Drosophila melanogaster: one gene and its partner. The gene in region 1 interacts genetically with each later gene. Each region holds a gene or a part of one and is shown in the gene's direction. Other genes may lie near its edges.

Evidence for each region.
Region 2: of sna (region 1) and Imp, changing one enhances a phenotype caused by changing the other (phenotypic enhancement), as found in Drosophila melanogaster (one study listed by BioGRID).

What each region holds. Positions count from the first base shown.
Region 1 is NT_033779.5:15,475,260-15,480,920, reverse strand, and holds sna (snail), read left to right. Parts: upstream 1-2,660; 5' UTR 2,661-2,813; coding exon 2,814-3,986; 3' UTR 3,987-4,328; downstream 4,329-5,661. UniProt on the Drosophila melanogaster protein: Essential for the correct specification of ventral-dorsal patterns.
Region 2 is NC_004354.4:10,820,467-10,826,108, reverse strand, and holds the start of Imp (IGF-II mRNA-binding protein), read left to right. Parts: upstream 1-1,831; 5' UTR 1,832-1,934; intron 1,935-3,322; exon of another isoform or gene 3,323-3,717; intron 3,718-4,291; exon of another isoform or gene 4,292-4,790; intron 4,791-5,642.

The sequences.
Region 1 (5,661 bases):
CTCCGATCTTCGATTTATGGATCGCAGCTCCTTTGTTCCGTGCCAAAAAAAGGAGAGCCTGACCTGGGGGTAGTATAGTAATCAACAATTCATTGTCAACGACATCACACATCGTATATCTTGGGCCATAGTTTGTTTTCCTTGGTGGTATCCCTAATGTTCGTTCCTTTCTTTTTCTCTCTCCTCTTTATATCTTCGTTTTTGCAAAAGGTTCACCAGGCCAGGTGACCTGGATATACTGTTAGGCTGTGATGGCCTGTGAAGGAGTGGGGGTTTTGGTTAGAGAAACACAGTCTAGGAAGCTGAAAAAACAGTTACAGTTATCCTTGGGCGAAAATGTGATATGATTTTTCTGAGTGTTTTATGCGAATATTTAATAAGAAGAACAAAACGAAAAACATTTTTTACAAGCTCCGTAACATTAATTATGAATAAAATTACAAAGTTCAATGTGTTGTTCTTAAAATACATTTCGATCATCGTTCATAATGTCTCCTTTTTGCACTGGTTGTCGACCTAGTTCTGTTTTGTGACTCGGATTTACTATTTCGCATGGCTCCTCTTCGAACAATGTCAGTCGAGCTCTGTAGATCCCTGTGTTCCCTCTTCATTGTCAACTTGAACAAATGAGCCAGGGAACAAGGTGCAAAAATGGGACGGTCCTATTCTCAGCAAAAATTGACAAGAACAACAACAATGTCTATGGAAAATCGAACTTCATCCCAGCACCTGCAGAAATCCCGAGCGAGTCGGGGAAAAAGTATTTAACCCCCGAAAGGGTTTTCCCCAAAATAATGAAGTAATGAATGAAGCGGAAAACACTGGCCGCCAATCTACCTAATACTAATGAGCGGGCCAACCCGACCAGGAATTTTTGCAAGTCAGGTACTTCAACGGATATATGGGTTCGACAAGTGCGGATTTTCCCGCGACATCAATGAGGACTTGGCCGGGTTATCCGCGGTGCTCATCGGGCAATTCCGCGGCCGAGGACTTCATCGTAGTGATCATTAGGTAGATATGTGCATGGATGTGACATGGCGATCATTGCGCGGAATAACACACGTAATAACCGAGATATCCGGGATGACCCACCAGGTAGGATGTGAGGACATATAGAAAACCCCCAGCCAGTTTTTCCACTCGTCGTGGCTTGTTTTGCTTGAGTTTCGCTGACTGCGTAATTGGATAAGATGGGAAATTACTTTAAATCCTTCGCTGATCCACATCCGGACATTCGTCGAAGGAAAATCCATTGCAGGGAAATACGAAATGGAAATGCGGCTGGGTTATTGGCTCGACATTTCCCATCTTCCCTCACGCCATTGGTTGCAGGATCGCGGGGAATTGGAATTCCGCGCTGGAATTTTTTGTCACCTCTTGGGTTTATCAAAACTTTTGGGTTTGCTATGGATTTTTTCCAATTTTACCACCGCGCCTGGTTTTTTTTTTTTGACGACGCGGAAAATCGGACTTGGCTATGCGGGCTTGTCTGTTTTTCCGGGTACAAAGTCTGCATGTCAGCCTCCATGCGGGAGTGGGAGTTGGGAAAGTTTCCCATCGATAGTTGGAGGGGTGGCTTGAAAGTCTGGAGGTGCTAGCTGGGAAAGTTGTGTGTGCGCGATGAGGCAAGGAGTCAAAGATCAGGGGAGTTGGAAAGCGAGAATTGTGGGAATCGTCCAGGACTCAGCTGGATGCTGAGGGGCAGTATGATTTTTTTTACGTTATCAATCGAATTGATTTTAAGACAGCAGAACTTCACATACTAATAAGATGACCATGGGATTAGTTAAAATGTGTAACTCGTATTCGAATCGTCATTCTTTCACGGACCAATCGTGGGAACAGGAGATCTCTTCGATCCAAGCTCACAGGAGACTTGACACTCTTCGTCTATTCCTTGTCAAGTTTTTAATGACATCTCCTATGCCCTGAGCTATGTTTTCCTAGCTCTCATCGATCGCTGCCAATGAGCCACTGGAGATGATCCATAAGTCAGCGTAGAGTGCACCCCAGAGTTGACACTTGGTGTCTCGGAATTCGGCTCATTATCAGTGCTATTTTTGGAACACCTCTCTGCGAAGGTGTCATTTTTGTCAGTGCGTATCGCTCAGGTTCAACTCCCCACCAAAAACCGAATTTAGAGCATCGGCAGATGTACTTGAAGCACTCAATCTAAGTGAGGAAACCACCCCATGAACGAAGAGTACTAGGAGTCCTATTTGACTCGTGCTTAAAAATAGAAAATTACTTAGGGTGATCCATAGGTAGGGAGGCGATATTGTAACTTGCATTTCGGACCCGGACCTGCACGAGTTATTACGGGTGGGTTGTGAGCGTATCGGGAAATTGGAGAGCCACCAGATCTGTCATAACTTATACGGGGGATCCTTATTCCTGGGAGGGTGCGCCTGCGTCTGCTCTTCCGAGAGAGAGGTGGGAAATGGAGGAAGAGAGAGAGAGAGAGAGTGAGAGAGCAGGTAGAGGGAAGTGAGGGAAATACGCAATAAGGGTATGGGAAAAGTGCTGTTGTTGTTGCTAGGTAGCGACGCACACGTGCGAGTGTTTTTCTGTTTTGAAGAAGAACCACCACCAAATGGCGACAGCGGCGTCGGCAGAGGCGCAGAGTTCCGGGTATAAAAGAGCGTGCTCGACTGTTGACCTGTCACAGCCACCTCAGCTCTCGTTGAGAACGCAACCACCGCTCTATACTCGATCCCGAACTATATAACTCGCCTCTCGATCGCCGATCTCCCGATTTACCCATCTCGATCAGTACCGGAAACTAAAACTTAATCACACACACATCAAAAATGGCCGCCAACTACAAAAGCTGCCCGCTAAAGAAGCGCCCCATTGTCTTCGTGGAGGAGCGTCTGCCACAAACGGAGGCCTTGGCCCTGACCAAGGACTCACAGTTTGCCCAGGATCAGCCGCAGGATCTATCCCTGAAACGGGGTCGCGACGAGGAGACCCAGGATTATCAGCAGCCGGAACCGAAACGTGACTATGTGCTGAACCTTTCAAAAACACCGGAAAGGAACTCCAGCTCTAGCTCCAACTCCTGCCTGCTGTCGCCGCCAGTGGAGGCCCAGGATTACCTGCCCACCGAAATCCATATGCGTGGACTAACGGCAGGAACAACGGGATATACCACCGCCACCCCCACCACGATTAATCCCTTCCAGTCCGCCTTTGTGATGGCCGCCGGTTGCAATCCGATCTCTGCCCTGTGGAGCAGCTATCAGCCCCATCTGGCCGCCTTCCCCTCGCCAGCCAGCTCGATGGCCTCGCCCCAGTCGGTCTACAGCTACCAGCAGATGACGCCGCCCTCCAGCCCCGGATCCGATCTGGAAACCGGTTCCGAGCCAGAGGATCTTTCAGTGCGAAATGACATCCCACTGCCGGCTCTGTTCCACCTTTTCGATGAGGCCAAGTCCAGCAGCAGCGGTGCCAGTGTAAGCAGCTCATCGGGATACTCCTACACTCCGGCCATGAGTGCCTCGTCGGCGAGTGTTGCCGCCAATCATGCCAAAAACTACCGCTTCAAGTGCGACGAGTGCCAGAAGATGTACTCCACCTCGATGGGCCTGTCCAAGCACCGTCAGTTCCACTGCCCGGCAGCCGAGTGTAATCAGGAGAAGAAGACCCACTCCTGCGAGGAGTGTGGAAAGCTGTACACCACCATTGGAGCCCTGAAGATGCACATCCGCACCCACACTCTGCCCTGCAAGTGCCCCATTTGCGGCAAGGCCTTCTCTCGACCCTGGCTGCTCCAGGGACACATCCGCACCCACACTGGAGAGAAGCCTTTCCAGTGCCCCGACTGCCCACGATCCTTTGCCGACCGCTCGAACCTGCGAGCTCATCAGCAGACCCACGTGGACGTCAAGAAGTACGCCTGCCAGGTGTGCCACAAATCTTTCTCCAGGATGTCGCTCCTGAACAAGCACTCCAGCTCCAACTGCACCATCACTATTGCGTAGGATTCTCGACATATGAATCCCTTAGCAGGACACAATTACCTAAGCAAACTCACATTCCGCTGGCGAAGACCAAACAAACAGACAATACCTATTATAAGTTTGTACTAAGTCGATTCGGTTTTGGTGCTACTATTACTATATTTATTTCAGCTATAGTATTCTAAGTTTAAGTTCATGTATATTGCCTCATTGTCACACGCAGCATTTTACCAAATCTATTCATTTAATTATAATATACCCTTATTTATGTATTCTCAGTACTGTTAAGCCAACTGTTGTTAAGATTATTCCTAGCTTAAAGAGAAGAATTAAATATTTTTATAAAATAAAACTCACGAAAAGAAATTTATATGGTCTTTATTATTTTTAACAATTTTGAAAGAAATTCTCACAGAAGGAAACTGTATAGAAATATTCAATTTAAATTCTATCACTAATATTTGGGCTCAAATACAGACAGATGTGAATAAAAAAATTTAAAAATTTGTAACCAAAAGTTATAGAAAACATTTTAGGTAGTAACAGCATTCATCGAAACGCATTAAAAAAATGTAATCTTTCCTTCTACAGTTTCTATGTGCCTTCAAAATGTACAATAATTAACAGGAAACCAAACATCCGCATTTTGGGGTCTGCCCCTGTTCATATTTTGTGACAATTTCCGCCAACCCTCTCGAAAAACAGAAATCACAACAATAGCAATATCGAATTCTCGGAGAAAACACCTTTGGCATGTGCAAACAGGGAACCGATTTGTCATACACTTTCCTTTTCGGGGACTTCCTTCTAACCCGCCCCCATTAATAGCATTCCATCAATTTCAATCCATATCGCTCGGCGTTTTGCACCTTTTGCCAATGCAAATATTTAATTAGCTGACACCGACATCGCTTCACGTTTACATTTCTGCAATCCTTTTCCAGCATTTTGCCGAACTGATGGCGGCGCATGCGTCCTGAGTCCCTAAAGGATACCAAAGGACACCAGAGGACCGTGGAGTGCAGGTGATAAACGTAGCGACGGCTGCTTATCGAGTCCTTCCTGATTGACTGGCAGACGGTAGTTCAGGTCCTGATTGGATTGGATTACCACCGAAGCATGCTCTAAACCGAGAACCCGTCGAGGTTTATCTGACTATTTGATTAGACCCGCGCGGTGATAATACTTTAGTTTGAACAGGTATGAGGAATAAATCCAAGATATGGGTGGATATTTTAGCTTAGGCACGTATGGTTATCAAGGCAAGGTGAGTGGGTATTTGGATTCAATTTGTTAATAGCCATGTTCTAATAGATATTAGTTCAGAAATGTTCACTGATACAATTCAGTAGTTGTAAGATTTGCCAATAAACATTTAACGATTCTTTTATTATTTAAGGAAGTCCCGTAAATGTGTGACTCTAAAAACATAAATAATCGAATGCGGGTGTGTCGGAATGGGACAAGCATTAGCGACATTATGTTGCAGTTGCAACACCTTTTGGTCATAAATAAGGCTCACAAAAATCCATTCCCAGAAGGAACCAATGCAGACAATGACCAATCATTCCAGTTCTACGGTAATCAGAGCGCGTTTCTTGTGCAATTGCAAAAAACTGCAGCACAGATGCAACTGGTCACAATGCATCAGCTGTAAGGAAAACACCTTGCCGGGTGGACAATGGCTAGAACGCAG
Region 2 (5,642 bases), on another chromosome or scaffold:
TCAATTGCGATGACGTCAGCGCCAGGCAAAATTTGCGTTGGACGCAATAAACAAGCAAGTTCCGTTAAGATTTCAAAGTACGCACTGACTTTCAACTTTCAACCAACCCCCACCACGCAGCACGCAGCACCCAGCCACCTTCCACTGGCGTTCGTCCTTGTCCCACGACGGGACAATGTGTGGAGAGGGGTGGAAGGGGGGGGGGGGGGGTGATGCCAGAATAGAGAGACACACAAGGGTTGCAATCTAATGAAATAATAATAATAAAAAAGTAAATAAAGCAAGGGGCGAAGTCAACGGAACGCAGCCAAATTCGATCCTCGACGTGTGGCGTGGGTGCAACAGAGATGGCAAGAGTGGCAAGCGCGTAACGGGACACCACCACCCAAAAGCTGGAAGACAGCGGACTGGAACGTTCTCTCCCCCAACCCCTTCCATGCCAAACCATTCCCGTGCCAACGCACTCGCGAAAATAATTGAATGTAATTTTAAATGATGTTTGTGATTATATTACAAATGAAAATTGGGTTTCTTAGAAACATTCGAAAAGTATTAAAAAAGAGAATGATGATCTGCTTGTTTAGCCCCATCTCAAAATCGCTTCATTTCCTGCTTAGAAGGTATCTAATAGTCGCGACACTCGACCATTTTCATTTACTGTGCACTAAATACCATAGAATCCAAGCCAATGCGATCCCAACCATCCCAAATCGAAATGGAAAATCGCAGCATGGCAACGCACAGGACGCACACACAAAAATGCGTCGCAGTTGCCGCTGGGGGTGGGTGGTGGCTCTTCCTTTCCCATTTCCATTCCCTTTCCCTGCGCCTTTCCCTTTACCATTAGCGTTAAACCCTCCCAGCTCGTATCCTCGTCCCTTTTTTTTGGACTAGGCTAGGGCTAGAGCCCAGACTGAGAGTTCAGAACTCACAGCCAGCCGGCTGTAAACATTCCTGACAGACGCAGGAACGCAGCAACGCATCGCAACCACACAGCGCACATTCAGCAACAGCGATGGTGGTGGTGGCAAGCAAATTATGAGATTTTCAGGGGTTCAACAGCCTCCTAGAAATGTACGGGACAACTAAAGTATTCCATCAATGCATTGAAAGAATTCTTCAAGTCTGCCATCAGAGCTATATCTATACAATGGTACTACAAAATAGATCCCTAAGTATATGCTAATATAGATAGTCAGAGGTAGAAAGATGTATATCCTTGAAAGATCTATCTAAATGATTGTTGTATCTTAACAAATATGGCTTGAAGTTAAAGAACTTAACAGTTCGTTCGCCTTACTTCTGCACTCCGTAATCTTCTAGTTTAAGCTTAAAGTTGCAGCTCAGCATTGAGATCTTGGATGGAAAGTGCATGGGCATGGGCCTGGAACCACTGCCATTGTGCACCCATGTCCAGGGGCGTAGGGCCACATCCTCGACCTTGTCCTTGTCCCGTATTTTGGGGTTGAAAAACTACGCAAGTTTCGCTCGAAATTCGAAAACGGGACGCAATCGCTTAGTGTGTGCGTGCGATATGGTATGGGTGTAGACTCTCTGTGTGTGTGTGTGTGTGTGTGTGTGGGCTGAGTTGGGTTGGTAACAGTCGGATATATATGTACATACTTATATATATTTTATGTTTGTTGCTGCTCTGGGGTGCGCATCAGATTTAGCTGAACGAAGGAAGGAAGCATCGACAAAAAAGAGGAACGGGAAAATGTAGGAGAGCAGGAAGTAGAAATTTCGTTGGCAGCAAGGTCAGCGAGAGAGGGAGATGGCAGGAGTGAGGGAAACAGAGATGGAGAAGGCACAGTCTTAGATCGAAACACGATTGTGAGCTGCAGACTTTTCCAAGTCCCCGGAATCGCTATTCGCAGCTCACTTCCCTCGTGTTAACCTCATTGCGTCCAATCTAGTTGGAAAATCCCGTTGAGGTATCAAGTACTGTTTATAGAAATGTATCTTTCATAACACTATCATAACAATTGAATACTACACTCTCTAACTCGTCGTTCGAAAACAAACTTATGATTATAAAGGCCATAGTAACAAAGAAGCCGCAACGCAAGTCGTAAAATGCATTGCATACTTTCTGGAGTCGAAAAGTGCCACAATTAATATATGCAATCTAAACAATGGGATTGGGAAAAGAAAATAATTTATATAATTCTATTATAAGCCAAAATAATAGCTTTATTGATATCTATGCATAATCGCAATTTACAAATGCCAATAACTTGGCTCACAAGTGGCAATCGTGAGTGGAATCGAATTCACAATTTCCCCGAAAGACATTTTCCGTTCTCTTGTTTTCCTCATGTCTTAAAATTATAGTCTTGCCTTTTGTCAAGCAGCTGTGGCAGTTTGAATTTTCCTGACATTTTCACGAGCCAGTAGACAAAACAGACGGGGCGATAAAAGGGCGCAAAGGAGAGCGAAGAGGAGCGGAGAAGAGAGAAAAGTGGAGAGAAGAGCGATGAGCGAAGAGAGAGCGGGAAAAACGCTGGCGTCTCTGCTCGGGCCACCCTTGTTTTCAGAGTTTTTCCCCGAGTTTTCCGCTTGGTACTATGAGTTTTCGCTTTTCACATTTCACACTCACCCCCGTCGCAGCTGCGTCGACGTCAACGTCAGCGTCAGCGTCGACAGCGCTGCCAACAGCTAGCCGGTCCAAGCCAATCAGATGGAAAATATTCGTTTATCCGTTGCGTTTTTCGATGTTTTTCCTTTTTGGGTCGGGAAAACCTTTTGCATAGGGCGACCAGCAGTGCAAAGTACAGGTCCAACAGCTGGCACAGTGATCACCAGATGAAATAGAACAGATCAACAGAAATCATCGATCATTAAATCGGAATAGAAATGAAATTAGAAGTTAGCTATATAAATATGTAACGTATCTAAGCAAGGCCTAAAATGTATGTTAAATATATTTTGATTACCTATAGTAACTTAATAATACATTTGGCAATGTATACTGGCATAAATTAATAGTTAGCTTATTCGATTTCTTAACCTTAGATCATTTATAGTGGTCGCCGACTTTTTAGAGTGAGTGTGGTGTAAGCCGGCTGCTGCCCTTTAAAGCGGATAATGTGTATAGACGCTTGCACACAGATACAGATACGAGTACAGACACAGATACAGATACAAATATGCCAAGGAGCAGGGTCAGCCATTTTGGTTTACAACTTTCACTGTTTTGGATGGGTGGGAAAATGCGACGCCAACGCCAACGCCGCTGCTACAGCGCCGCGGCAGAGGTCCTGAGAGCAGAGCAGAGCTGAACAGAGTTTTCCTCGCATTTTCATCGGGCGCTGAGCAGACACCTTGGAAATTGGGATCCGTATATCCGGCAGGCAGGCAGTTCACTCGTCGCCGTTGCGTCAGTTCGTTCGACTCTCGACTCTCAGCTCACAGTTCGCAGTTAAATAGTTAATAGTCAATAGCTCACGCCGAACAGCTATCGAGATATTAGTGTTTTGGATTCAGATTCAGATTCAGATTCAGATACGGATACGGATTCAAACGGCGCCGCCATTTGTGATTTTTGTTGTTTTTTCTTGTATGAGCAAAAAGTGACAAAGCACAAAAAAAAAGAAAAAAAAAGATAAAAACCAGTGAAAAGCCAAAGGAAAAGCGCAAAGAAAAGTGAAAAATCATCATAAAATAACAAACAAAAATTCGACGAGAATTCTTGAGGTTTACCAAATACACCAAAGTGTAAGTGTAAGAAAGAGAAAGGAGATACCAACCAAGCCATAGAGAGAGAAGGTGAGGGAGAGAGAGAGTAAGGGAGTGGGAATAGGAGGGAGTGTTTTTCCAGCCTTGCTTTGTACGCACTCACTCACGCATCTGCTGCCGTCTCGCTCGCACCCACACAATCCAACGCCCACCCACGGCAACCCACACACAGAGTTGTCACCTACACAAAAATCAATAACGAAACCCAATAAAATAAAATCCACAACGACAGCGAAAACAAGCCCAAAAAGAAAATGTTACTTCCTGTCTAAATCAATCAATGGAAAAATCAATTGCGAACTCATTAAGGATGCTAGATTTTGATTCCAAGTAATTCTTATGGCATTTGAAAACTAGCTATAGATTGCATAAAAACTAGATTTCTTAGGGATTAACTATAATTTTCTTTTAATGCTTTAGGCTATGGACGGTAATAGGTTATGTAGAAAGTATTGTAGTATTGCAAATATAACCCATTATTGAATATCCCAAATCACACACACCATTGGCTTTGCTGTCAATCGCAAATGTCTAAAAGCCCCATACAAATTTCACTTTTCCCACTATTCAGTTTCAAATTTTTTCTCGCTCAATATAAAAAAAAAATCAAAAATTTACCCAAAATCAAAAATATACACTCACACAGTCCATAACAAGACAAGACACCGGAAAACAACAGGCAACACACCCATATTAAAGCCAAAAAAAAAGGAATCTAAGAAAGGCCAAAGGAAAGGCGAAAGACCAGACAATTTTGTTTAAACTACGTACTAGGTAGAGATATTTATAATCTGGAGAATTCCGATCAATTGGAATATTGTAGCCCAGAGAATATCGATCCTCTCGAGAAAAATTCACCGACCTCACTTTCCAATTCTAAAGCCTGAAATCTTGATGTTGAACCCACACAATTGGCAACTTAATTGAATCAAGAGCCTGCAAAGGACTGAGATCTCTGGAGCAAGAATCAGGCACCTTTATCTCAAGCAATTTCAACAGACATCCTATCCAAATCTCGAGAATAAGCAGTGCACTTGCGTCCCATTGAAAGTGTAAGTATCCTTTTCTGTCAGGATATTGAAACGGGTCCTCGAAAAATGTTACCTTGCTATAGTTCCGTAACGAACTCAATATATTGATTATATTGATATTGATAAGAGGATAGAATGAGGATATTATTCCTATACTATTCCTATTTAAGATCTCTTCTCTACAATAGTCGAGATTCTTCTAAGCAACCAAGATCAATTAAAAACCAATAACTTAGCTAGCACTCCGCCACAGTTCCTGTGTCTGTGTCTTTCATTCATATATCCGATGATAAATTCCCAAGTTTTCTTTATGCCAACTCCATTGCAACATTGTACAAAGTACAGGGAATGCTCCACAAGTGCGATTATAAATTGTTCAGAATGTAAGCGGCAATGATTGCGGAGGCTTCTCTGTAGTTGAACGCCGAGGTTGCGTGTTTGGCGTCTATTTTAAATGTCGACAGCGCAAGATGCGCGTGGCATGAATGAAGCGTCTGTCCCGCCTTTCAGACCAACAACCACCGCCCCCCCGCCCCCCCAACGCTTTTTGTTGGCCCCCTGCTCGTCTTCTTCTTCTTCTCTTCCTCATTCTAATCTGGCTCGTCTGCTTCTAAATTTAATACATTCTCAAGTGAGGCGAAATTCATGGAAGATGCGAATAAAATCGGATCAATTTTAAAGTTCAACAGCCGCTGAAAAAGAGAGAGTGATATATGTATATCCAAAGAAATTGGGAATTGCAGCGATAGAGATAGCAATATGTCGGTGGGGCCAGAATTAGAAGCAGACTGACAAAGAAATAGGTGCCAGTTTGGTCAAATTCCTTAGCGTTTCGCAATTGGGAGAGGGTGGTTCATATCGTTTAGATGCCAA